3 linked regions of the Drosophila melanogaster genome follow. The protein of the gene in region 2 interacts with the protein of the main gene of each other region in a pairwise test. Each region holds a gene or a part of one and is shown on either strand. Other genes may lie near its edges.

Region 1 (3,753 bases), on a different chromosome or scaffold from region 2:
GCTTGACTTTGTGCAGTTCCTCACCCTTGATCAAGGACCTTGGCTCCTTTAGAGGATCGCTGTCTGTGTCATCGCTGCCCGTGGCATTTCCGATTGCACGGCAGGACCAATCCACATTAATTGATGTAGTTTCTACAGACTCCACGGTGTACTGGATAAATAAGGTTATTTTCAATTAGCGATAGTATGGGAGGGCCTTCTTTAGTTAAGTAAAAATGTAATTAATCTACTATGACAAATCAAACTAGGGCGAATGCTACATAAAATAATAGCGTAACTAGTATATACAATCGGTCAATCTGAGACTACAAATCTATAAAGGATTAATATCTCCCTACCACAGCACGACCCTTGCGAGTTAAGGGATGGGTAATCTCCGGGGTCAGATTCTTGACACGATCCGGGGGCGGCATGCGACCGATTACAATGTTTCCTGGAAAGAAGACATTCGGATTGAAGACCGTGCGATCGCATTCGGACACAGCATCCTTAAACTTGTGGAAATCGTTGGAGGTGATTTCCACACGGGCACCGTTGGATGATCTGCAAAAAAATATTGAAAATAATGTTCGCCCGAGTTGATTGAGAGATATGAAACATACTTGAGCACAGCGCACTCATTAATGTCTATGATGGTGCCTATCCAGGTGTCCATGCAGAGAGGCACATATTGGTTCCACTCGGATATCGGACGCAGTCGCTCGGCGGGCACATTTTTAATGACCATTCTGGAGCCCATTACCATAACATCGGCGCGTACATTGACATCCCGCACGTAGCCCGCCTGGCCAGCCAAAACGTTTTCTCCTGGCAGACGCCTCCGCACCACATCGCCTGGCATTAGGGTGCGATCCGCCAGACCAATCTGTGTATATGCCACATGTTCGGATGTCGATGGAACAAAAGAAAAGAAGCAAACAAACACGTGTCAAAAGAACTTGAAGAGCAAACTCAAAACAGTTGTGAAAACAGTTATTTTTTTGGAGAGACCGTGAGACTTACATAACCTCAATGGAGTTTACTCACCGACTGTTCCGTCATCACCATCTCCTTGCCACCCGGATAGAAGGCCACACGCACCTCGCCCCTGGACAGCGAATCGACATCTTCCTCTTCGGAGGAGGAATAGGTCTCGGTCGTTGCGGTTACCAAGCCAAAATGGACGCGACCGCGCCGATCAATGCGAAAAACCCCATCCTCTAAGAAGAACTGGGACTCGGTGTTACCCTGGGCTTTCGATGGCACCTGGCCACCACCCGATCGACGGGAGTGGGAATTTGCGTTATGGCGGCTCTCCTGGTTGGGGGTCCGACCCAGCTCCTGTGAGGATGGAGGAGGATTCGCAAGCGTCGGTGTACGCGGAGCAGCCTCCGCCAAAGACTGTTCCTGCTCCTGCTGCGGTTGACCTGGTGTACCACCTGGAGCGGCCGCACCCGCCACATCGCTCATCATGTTACCAATCGTAAGCTGGGAACATGGACGGCAAGAACTTTGCCGTGGCGAATGCTCGGTGAATATATTTCTTCTCCCTTTATTGGCCACTAATTATTACAAATTCCTATAATATGCCCGACGAGCCACTGACACACAAACACACATCTAATTTACGGACACTGGAGCAAACTATAAATTTGCTTGGACAATTTCGCCAACTTCTTTCGAAAAACTATAAATAAAACAGGCAAAATCTACAAACAAAACGAGAAACTTTGATAAAAAGAATTTTGTGACTGAAAAATACCGGAGTTAGATAAAATCAATGGTTCCGAGTTCCAGTGCCTTTAAGCGAGCACTCGAACCATTATCTTGATAACAGCGCTCTGTTAAGAGAAAACAACGGTTGAAACAAGATGAGCATTTGCCCGCGAAATTGAAATGGGATAGTCTAAATACAAATTCAGTTACTCTCAATTCCGTAAAATAGTAACGCGTGTTGTTGTCTGCCTAAAAACTCACCGTTACGTTGATATAATAATGTAAATGTAAATGTGCTTTTTCCAAAAATTTCTATTATCAAATGTTAATTTGACACATCGTTCAGGGACTACTTGTATTTTAGACATGTACAGAGCCAAGTGTATCACATCATAGGCGCACTAGCATCAAAATGCTCCCTTCCTTTTCCAATAAAGGTAACGCTCATTGCGTTCTACCAAGTTAAAACAAATTCAATCTCATTTTAATACCCCGTTAAGCATTTTCCATAAACAATGAAACTTGGTTTAAAAAGAATTGTTTATTCACAAAAATTTTAGCATATATTTCTTCCAATATTGCACTTGGTCTACATATTGTCACATCTAACTATCATAGGCGGAGCGAACTGGTGGTGGCGCACACCAAAGGAGTAGCCCGGTCCACTCTTGCCAGGACGATAGTACATGAGGTCGTAGTAGTTGGGTCCAGGTCCGACATTCTCGCCCGGAATAGTGGTGCGCGGCTGCATCGAGTATATCGGAGCACGTGTCAGTTTGACATTGATATCACCACCGCCATATGCAGCCGGACCCGGAGAATTCGTCTTGTTCAAAATCTTTGTTTGTAGTCCCCTGAGATACAGGTACAAATAAAAATAGGCAACTTAGTAAAGGAATAACTATGGTAGGATTGAAATACGCACATGCTATAGCTCGGGACTCCAGGACGAACGGCATTGACCTCGTACTTGTAGGCATTGGGACCGGGACCATCCTTCTTGAAGTTAAAGTCCGTTCGTAGGCCCATCGAATACGAAGGAGCATTAACCCCCTTAAAGAATGGCCTATTATGAACATCGTGTGCTCCCGGACCGGGACTGCTTCGCTTATCTACGATTAAGCAATTTAACCAAAAACGTTCTTGTCTTCAGTACTAATAAGTTATCTTACCGATGACATTGGTTCTGGGCGCCATCGAGAACTCCAAACCCTTGCTCGTGCCATAGCGAGTCAACTTGTCCACCTTGTAGGCCCCTGGACCAGGACCCAGATCCTCACCAGGAGCACGGGTGCGCATGCCGAAAGAGTACTGCGGCAACCGCTGTTTGCGGTTGTCATGCTTATCATAGCCCACAGTGGGGGGCAGCATGTAAACGCCGGGTCCAGGGCCTACAAAAAGCATGTATAATATATTATTTACCACATTACAATTTTATGAATTCTCACTCACCAAAAGGTCGCACCGCCATTTTTGTTAGTTTTGTGCAATATTAGAAAGAAAATCTATTTTGAAAATTTAGAACCCAATATTAGGTGTTGGCCGAACAGATTCCAGTAGCAGAATGAGGCTTTCATAGAACTTCACATCGCAGCTCCATTCGAAGTCAGAGCCATAGCACACTTGTTATAGAAAAGTTTTACCACCGTAATTCCTTCACACATAACCCATTCAAATATTAATTACGTAATTCTTTTTATTCCGAAAATTTGATCATAATAACCTAAGTTACTTCAAGACATGGCAAAGTGATTTTAATAATAGGAGATTCGAATTTTATCGGAAAAATAAATTGTTTACGAAAATCAGCTCCAGATATATTGCTTTATTGAGCCAAAGGAACGCCTTATTTGCACACTCAAGGTTGTTTGCTATTTTGCTGGACAACTGGGCAGTACAGCTTATTCCACATCCATGGAGTTGTAAAGTTGTTTATACCTAGATCCCCGCCCGCTGCTTTGGAGCAGCATATCATTATGCTGTTCCCTAAGGGCCTGTTAAAAAAAAAAACACATATAAATAGTGACGGCTTAATCGAAAAATATAAAAAATGTTGAT
Region 2 (3,753 bases):
TAATTGGCAGAACGAAGAGGTTTCTCGGCGCGAAATCGGGGCTACGCCAGTAACCCATTCGTGGACCACTTCAACTGGCTTCCTCAGCCTTTCCACATGCAACGCCTGCCCGCGAAGACAAGTCGAATGGCACTGGAAAATCTGTCGTAATTATGCAACTGGCAACCAGTCGAGAGACTCCTCTCGAAAGAAAATTTCCATGGCGGCGATGTAGAAATATGGAAAATTGGAAAACCCAACCTGCATGGAATGGGATCAACAAACTAACGTAATTCGATCTGCGAAGTAAATAATAAAGCAACGAAAGATGCACGGTAAATGGGGAAATACTTTGAGAAAATAATGAGGACCCATAAACGCTTTGTCACGTTTGTCTGAACATCGTGGATATGGTCAGCTGTAAAACGGAAAAAAATAATGCCAGAAAATATGGTAAGTCCATCATCAAGTCGGTTCGGCATAATGGAAACGTTAGTTTACTTTTATTGTTTCAAAGCAGCGAAACTTTCACACTCGTTAATAAAATATTATTAATTTGATTGAGCGCCCCTGTCTGTTGGTTTTATGGTACTTAGTGGGAAATTCAAAAGTTATTAAACGATTATCATTCAGTGTGGTACAGCGATTTGGATTTGGAAGAGCTTGCAGAATGAAATCACAGTCTTGTTGTTGTTGATATAGAATGCGAAGAAGTTACGTTTCCAGGATCATCGGTTCGGTGGGGGAATGGAATGGGCGGAGCTCGTCTATTGGTTCTCCAGCAGACCGATGTACTGGCCATTCTGGTTGGCCACGCGTCGCTCCTCCAGTTTCCTCGCAAAGTCTGGATCTGTCTTGGCCCTCTGCTCCAGACGCTCCTGCTGCAGTTTAATGCCAGCGTAGATCTGATCCAAACCCTTCTGTATCTCCTCGGGAATAGCCGGCGGAGTAGGAATGTGATCACCTGTGGCCCTGAATCCATTCTCGTCGGCCGTGTACTGCACATTGACCAGAGTTCCCTCGGGGGATTGGTAGGAGTACTGGCCATGCTGAACCAACACCCCATTTGGATTGGTGTCGAAGTCCTTGAGGAAACCGGTTTCCTCATGAATGATGCTATTGCCCGTCTCGTATTCTGTCTTGTAGCTTCCATCGTCACTCTGCTCCTTGTTGTACTTGATTATGGGTATCCAGGTGCTGGTCTCTCTGTGATCTTCATGACGATGATGATCTGGTTTGTCATCGCGTGGTATGTTGTTCACATTTTGGTGCTGATGTTGATGGTGGTGTTGTCCTTGGCAGGAAATGGCCAACAGCACAAGAAGTATCTGAAAGGATAAATATTAGCTTAAGCTTACTAACACATGCAAGTCATTACGATTTCCAAACAAAGTAATCACAAAAAAGAATATTTAATCCTATCCTTTAGATGTAATGTAAACCAATAAATTTTATATTTGAGAAGATCGAACTGTTGCAATGTTTGCCAATCATTCATCGAGAATCACTTGACCGATTTTATGTGATTGGTTATGTGAACCACTTACGAGCACTTTCATTTCGCAAGGAGTCTCTGCCGCTTATCCACTGTATTCCACTGATTTGGCCCGCTTTGTCGCCCGTTTGGCTGGCACTGATCGCACTGGCTAGTGAAAGCAGCTCCGTTAGACACTGTGCCAAGCGCGGCCCTATTTTGGTCTTATATAGGCGATTCGCTCTGCTCCGACCCGATCCGATCCTCCTGTTGCACTCGTGTCCATACCCACACAGGTGAGCCTCCATGGGAGAGCGTGCATTTGCTATTTCTGCTGGTGATGGAGTTTCTAATGGAGATGAAGTTGCAGATGGATATGCAGTTGCAGTTGCCGATGAAGATGGGAGGGGATGGGAGTGGAAGTGGAATTTGCCATGGAAGCTCTTATTTTTTGTTAGCTGTCTGATCCGACCGATCGGTAATTGTTGTTCGTAGGCTCGACGACGCTTAAATGCTAAAATCGTAAAAAAAAAAACAATTCACTGTCGCTCTCGTTTGAGGCTTTTTCAGAGGCTGAGGCAGTATGATTTTAAAAGGAATCCAGAACTATGACAAACTATAAGGATAAAGCTAACATTCCATAATAATTTTGGATTAATAATTTGTGTTCGCCTTTTGTAAAATTTGATACCGTCATTATTATATAATGAAAAAAAAACGAAAAAATTGCAAATGCGCACACAGTAAAAAACAAATTATTTCTTTTCGCAAAGCAAAATCAGCTCTAAAAATGTTTAATTTTAATAGCTTCTGACCTTTTCCCTTTTTCTCATGCCCTAATCTTGGGATACTTTATTGAAATAACAAGTTCGTTTCCTAAGTCTTTTGTTTTAACGCAAGAAAATTCTTATGAAATGTTTTTTTTAAACATTTTATATTAAAAATATCTTATCTATTAAACTTTCTTATATATTACTTATTTATGAAGAGTCGTTTTGCCTTGTTAAGCCCCTTTTATACCGGCACCCATCTTAGCCCGGCTTATTGTCGCTGTTCGTATTTGGCCCGCTCGTAGGCCCGGCTCAAATGTCTGCGAAATGTCCGTCCCCCGCCAGCGCGTCCGGTCGTTCATCTTCGCAATGCCGTTATTTAGAAACATGCCAGAACGAGTTTTTTTTGCTTTGCTTTCGTTGTTGACTTGGCCAAAAGCGACAGTCGGCTCTCTCTCTCTCTCTCTCTTGCGACTGAATCGCATTTGAAGTGCATCCAAGATGCTGCTCCCTCGCGGCTTCGGTTTCGGATTCATTTTGAGATTCGCACTCGGACTTAGATTTGGATTCGCATTCTTGTAATTGCGGCAGTTTGGCGGACCCAATACCAACACCAGCGAAGCGCGAATTGTTGTAACAGCCAAAGTGCCTGGCAGATGAGGCAAGACGATAATTGAGTTCAAAGCGGGCCCGTGTCTTGGCAAATGTTAATTAGTTGCCAAACAATTGGGTTAATCTACAGTGCATTTTCGGCCAAAGATAACAAATAAACAAATATTAGGCGTTGTAAGAAATAAGAGAAAAATTCAATCATAGGAGACGATCAACTTGCAAGGGACAATATACAGCGAGTGCAACAACCGACGAAGTGCCGGCAATAAAGCCCGAAATGCTGCCAAACTCCAACGCCTATTGCGACAAACGACTCCTCCTCCCTCTGGGCCATCGTATTTTGGCCAACTCTTCGTCTTCCGCACCCACGACACCAAGTCAAACGCCCGCCAAGCCCCCGGTTTGCAATGTTGCTGCCGTGTGTGGTGATGTTGCTGCTGTTGCTGATGATGCATTGCAGGTTGTGCAACTCGTAGAGTTGCAGTTCCACGCACGGGCGAAAATGAAAATAAAAAACGAAAGCTGGGCAAGGTTAGCTTTCGAGTGCACCACCACAGATGCGCAAATGCTCACCATGAAACCGAACCCCCATCCCACTACCCACAACTGTGGCCCACTCACACATTGACCTGTTGCTGCCGGCATGGGGAAATTGCAGCATCTGCAAATGTCAAACGATTTCACCCTTACATTCTTAGCATTTGTCGTTCTTATGAACAACATTTGACATTTGGGTTCCGTTCCATTCCGTTCGGATTTGGCTTTATGGCAGAGAGCCAACTTGGCTAACAGAACCACGTTGCTGGCCATAAATATTCAGGCTGCTGCCGTGTCGGTTGTGAAATGAAATGCCTTGTCGATGCGGCCAATCTTGAGCTTGACTCGTAAATAATGCTCTAGTGGAGATTTTGAGCCAAT
Region 3 (3,753 bases), on a different chromosome or scaffold from region 2:
GATTCCGAACAGAGGCAGGAACAGGACGATTCCAGCCAAGCCGAGGGCTGCTCGCATCACTCCAAAAACGGTGGAACTCTGCGAGGTGGCTATGCACACTTGCAGCCAACTGAGCGTGACGCAGTGCGGGATGAGGAATGTGTAGACTCCATGCCAACGGGAGCGTTTGGCCATCATAATTAGCAGCACCGGAATAAAGAGATACAAGGCAGTGCGGCAATTCAAACAGAATTCAATGCCATTGCCAATGACAAACGATGAGAAAGTAGGTACGCGTAGGTCAAGAAAGCGCCAGCGCGTAGACACAACCTCGTCCATTTCGTACGGATATTTGGCAAGAACATTTACGGCAAAGGAAACAATCACTAGCCAGTCAGGCAGTTGGTGGGAGGAGGCGTACATGGACACGCACATGGTGATGAAGGTCAAGGCTCCAGAGATTATAGTCAGCTCCGAGTGTGGCAGCCAGGCGTCTGTGACCAACGGGTAGACAATCAGGTTGCAAATGAAGGCACAAAAGAAGTACAGGTACGGCTTCATATTGTTGCGTAAAAAGCGATGCTCCGCAATGTCCGCCTCGATGTTCTGATCCCCGTAGCTCAGGAACAGTCCCGACCAGATGCGAAAGTCCACGAACTGTTGTTTGGTTTTCAGCATCTTACACGTGGCCCAGATCATGATGCCCAGACTGAGATAATAGCTGACCAGGGGCAGCATATGCCGGCTGCTCCACCAAGAGATTGCAACGAGCACGCTGCAGCGCACGCTCAGAGGGATGACGTTGGGTATGGACACAATCAAGTTAAGCAGCCGGTGGTAGAACAGGGTGAAGAAGATAAGCGGGTGGAAGATCATGCGGTAGAAGCAGGGTACATGGTCCAAGCTCCTAGGATCCGGGACGGATAATGTGAGAGCATCATTAACGCTGGGCATTTGTCCGGCACTGTAATTGGAAGCTGCCGAAACGAGGTGAGCTTCGGTGATGAGGCGGCGTCGCTCCACATTGGCTAGGTCAATGGTGGGCACATCTTCGAGCGGTTCGCACTCCGGCTCCTGCTCGCCCTCGCTGCTCGACGAGGAGCGGTCATCATCGCGTCGACGCCGCTTGCGTTGCAGATTGTAGATGCGCCGCATTTTGCGCTCCAGCTGCTTGGGCGTTATATGCTCGTTTCCATTTGATAGGCAGGCAAAAAGCTCCCGGGCTGCTTTTCTGGCAGCCCGCTCACCAGGCGTCATAGCCAGGCAGCGACGCACTTCGTCCGTATTCTCTGCCGTAATACCGCTGCCATCGTTGTAGCACTGGCGTAGCAGCTTGACTGCATCCTCGTGTCCATTGTGTGCTGCACTCACCAGCCAGTTGACGGCCTTCTGGCTCTGATTGCCTTTGGCAAGATTGGGCTCTACTGCGGACATAGCAATCTTCATTATCTTGTAATTCTCGAGCAAATCCTTACACTCACCTATGGAATTATCGAGTAACTCTTTGGCCAGATCGTATTGCATCTGGGGGCATCCCTCCTCGGCGATGTGATGCTTAAGTTTGTTCAAGGAGGCACGATCTGTAAGGGAAAACATCTTCACTTTATGAACGTGTATCAATCAAAGCTCAGAGATTTACCTTCCAGATTCCAACGCCTGCGCTTGGTGACACCTGTCGGCTCATTTTGCGTCCAGGTGGCCATCTATGTCGAGTTTTTCGCTTTGTTTACGAAAATCTATGAAATAATTCTAGTCTTGACTTAGCGATGGCATCGTGTAGAACTTGTCTTAGAGATGGACTCACAAATATTAGTTAATATAATTATTAATTTAAAAATTTGTTTACCAAAGTTTAATTATTCATCGTATATAGTATATAAAATACATTTATGTAGTATAAATAATTTCCTATATTTAAATTTGTGTTCTTTGTGTATAATGTCGTGACTTCTAATCGATAAATAACTCAAATGTACTCAGCTGTGATTTCGATATTGCGACATCAAAAATCGATTCACACACATGCCGGCTAGATTGTTTGCTGTTGCAAAAGTAGTTGTTTATTTTTGATTTATAGGCATTTCCCAAATAAGAGCCAGCACAAAAATGGAGAGAAATCTGCAGAAGCAATTATACGGCATATCGCGCGAATCTTCACCAGGTGCACGAAGGTACAGCATGCCAGCAGCCTCGGCAGACAGCACGCGTAAATCAATTTTTGGCGGCAGCGCCAGTTGCGCCCAGATGTCGGGGAGCCTCAAAAGGACTGCCCTGACCAACAGGTATGTGCTAACTTATTCTCCTGGAATTTCCCACTCATCAAACAATCCTTTTCAGCCGGCTCAGCTTGTCGGTGCGTTCCACTCAGTCCATTGCCGGCATCCGATCCGATTACAATTCGGTAGAGAGCTTCGGTTGTCCACTGCCGGTGGTGGTCAATGAGGCACTAACCTTCGCAGGTCCAGGAGCGGGCACAGTAACAGCCAAAGTGACGCAAAACGGTTGGGCTTGGGTAATATATCAGCAACTCTCATTGTATCTGGTTCAGCAATCAGTACGATTACCTTTTCAGGTTGTCCAAGGCAGACGCCTCTTGATTTGGCAGTATAAGGACACGGCCAAGTCGGGCTCGCCACCTCGTGTGGGCAAACTGGCAAGACGTGGTGGTGGTCTGGCCCAGTGCCGTGAATTGACTTTACCTTACAGTGACCTGGGTCACAAGAGTGATTTAATCAGTGTTTTCCAGACGGAGGGTCAGCAAATGGCCTCCTGCATAGCGGTATCAGCCACGGGAGAAGTTCGGTACTGGTCATCGATTGCGCACGATGGGAACTCCGTGGATCTTTCCATCTTAACTGGCCAAGAGTTTGTCCAGCTGCTCAGTCTACCAACGCAGCAGGGCTACCTAGCCGTTACAACCACCTGCAATCTGGTATTCCTGCGAGTCGGACTGACCAACGGACGTTACACACTTCACCATAAGACTATCAAGCCTGCCACTAGCTTCCTTGGTGGTTTTGGCAAAAAGTTTGCCTCCATTTTGATTGGAATGAACACGGGTGCAGACAAGGATCAAGTAAGTATCTTCGTCCAGCATGGGACAAAAATCTCATGAAGTGTTTTTTAGACTTTGGTCGGCATGTGCTGCGAGAGCAATTTAGAAAGTGGAGAAACCATTGTGGCCGTGCTCTCTGATCGTGCAATCCAGCGCTGGAGTCTGTCCAACAATGGCAACACCGAAAACCTTCTGTACGAGGATGCGGATATGTTGCGCAGGATACGCGAAGAGTTTATAACGAACTTTTGGAAGTTCCGACTCCCAGCGGATAGTTTGGAGATCGATCTCCATCTGTTGGACTTTCACGTGGTTAAGAACAAAGCTTATATACTGGCTGGAGCTGTGAATGCTGCTCACGCTCCACAAATGTGCTACGCTCTGGGTAAGAAGTATGTGACAGCAAATCTTGATATGGTATATAATGTTAAGTATTTTAGTGACTGGCACTGCTCAAGCTGAAAGAATGCTTCTGGAATCGTTCACGCCGCTCAATATGAACAAATTCTTTAGTGCCAAGACTGAGGAGGATTGCCTCAGCGTGCGTTTTGTAGTAGGCAGCAGCCACATCTATTTGTATACTTCTAAAGTTGTGTATCCTCTGCACTTGACCAACTCGGTGCCGACAGCAGAGCTAGAGGCGGAAAAGATCGAGTTCCATCAGCACGATGATCGCATTTTGAGTGCCGTCATCTGCAGCCAATTGCCATTGTTCTTTA

Evidence for each region.
Region 1: the proteins of Cpr49Ah (region 2) and CG10254 interact in a two-hybrid assay, tested with the Drosophila melanogaster proteins (one large-scale study listed by BioGRID).
Region 3: the proteins of Cpr49Ah (region 2) and Nup133 interact in a two-hybrid assay, tested with the Drosophila melanogaster proteins (one large-scale study listed by BioGRID).

Annotation. Positions count from the first base shown.
Region 1 is NT_033777.3:23,692,997-23,696,749, forward strand, and holds the start of CG10254 (uncharacterized protein), read right to left. Parts: upstream 1,988-3,753; 5' UTR 1,957-1,987; intron 1,731-1,956; exon of another isoform or gene 1,530-1,730; 5' UTR 1,453-1,529; coding exon 1,027-1,452; exon of another isoform or gene 1,010-1,026; intron 866-1,009; coding exon 603-865; intron 544-602; coding exon 339-543; intron 152-338; coding exon 1-151. Other genes in the region: CG10252 (uncharacterized protein), read right to left, coding at 2,285-2,549, 2,621-2,807, 2,868-3,086, 3,148-3,166; prt (portabella), read right to left, coding at 3,597-3,689.
Region 2 is NT_033778.4:12,411,847-12,415,599, reverse strand, and holds Cpr49Ah (cuticular protein 49Ah), read right to left. Parts: upstream 1,639-3,753; 5' UTR 1,539-1,638; coding exon 1,527-1,538; intron 1,308-1,526; coding exon 747-1,307; 3' UTR 430-746; downstream 1-429.
Region 3 is NT_033777.3:22,688,615-22,692,367, forward strand, and holds the start of Nup133 (nucleoporin 133kD), read left to right. Parts: upstream 1-1,992; 5' UTR 1,993-2,085; coding exon 2,086-2,261; intron 2,262-2,316; coding exon 2,317-2,491; intron 2,492-2,551; coding exon 2,552-3,055; intron 3,056-3,106; coding exon 3,107-3,419; intron 3,420-3,474; coding exon 3,475-3,753. Other genes in the region: wfs1 (wolfram syndrome 1), read right to left, coding at 1-1,403, 1,461-1,559, 1,619-1,682. UniProt on the Drosophila melanogaster protein: Probable component of the nuclear pore complex (NPC). Plays a role in NPC assembly and/or maintenance.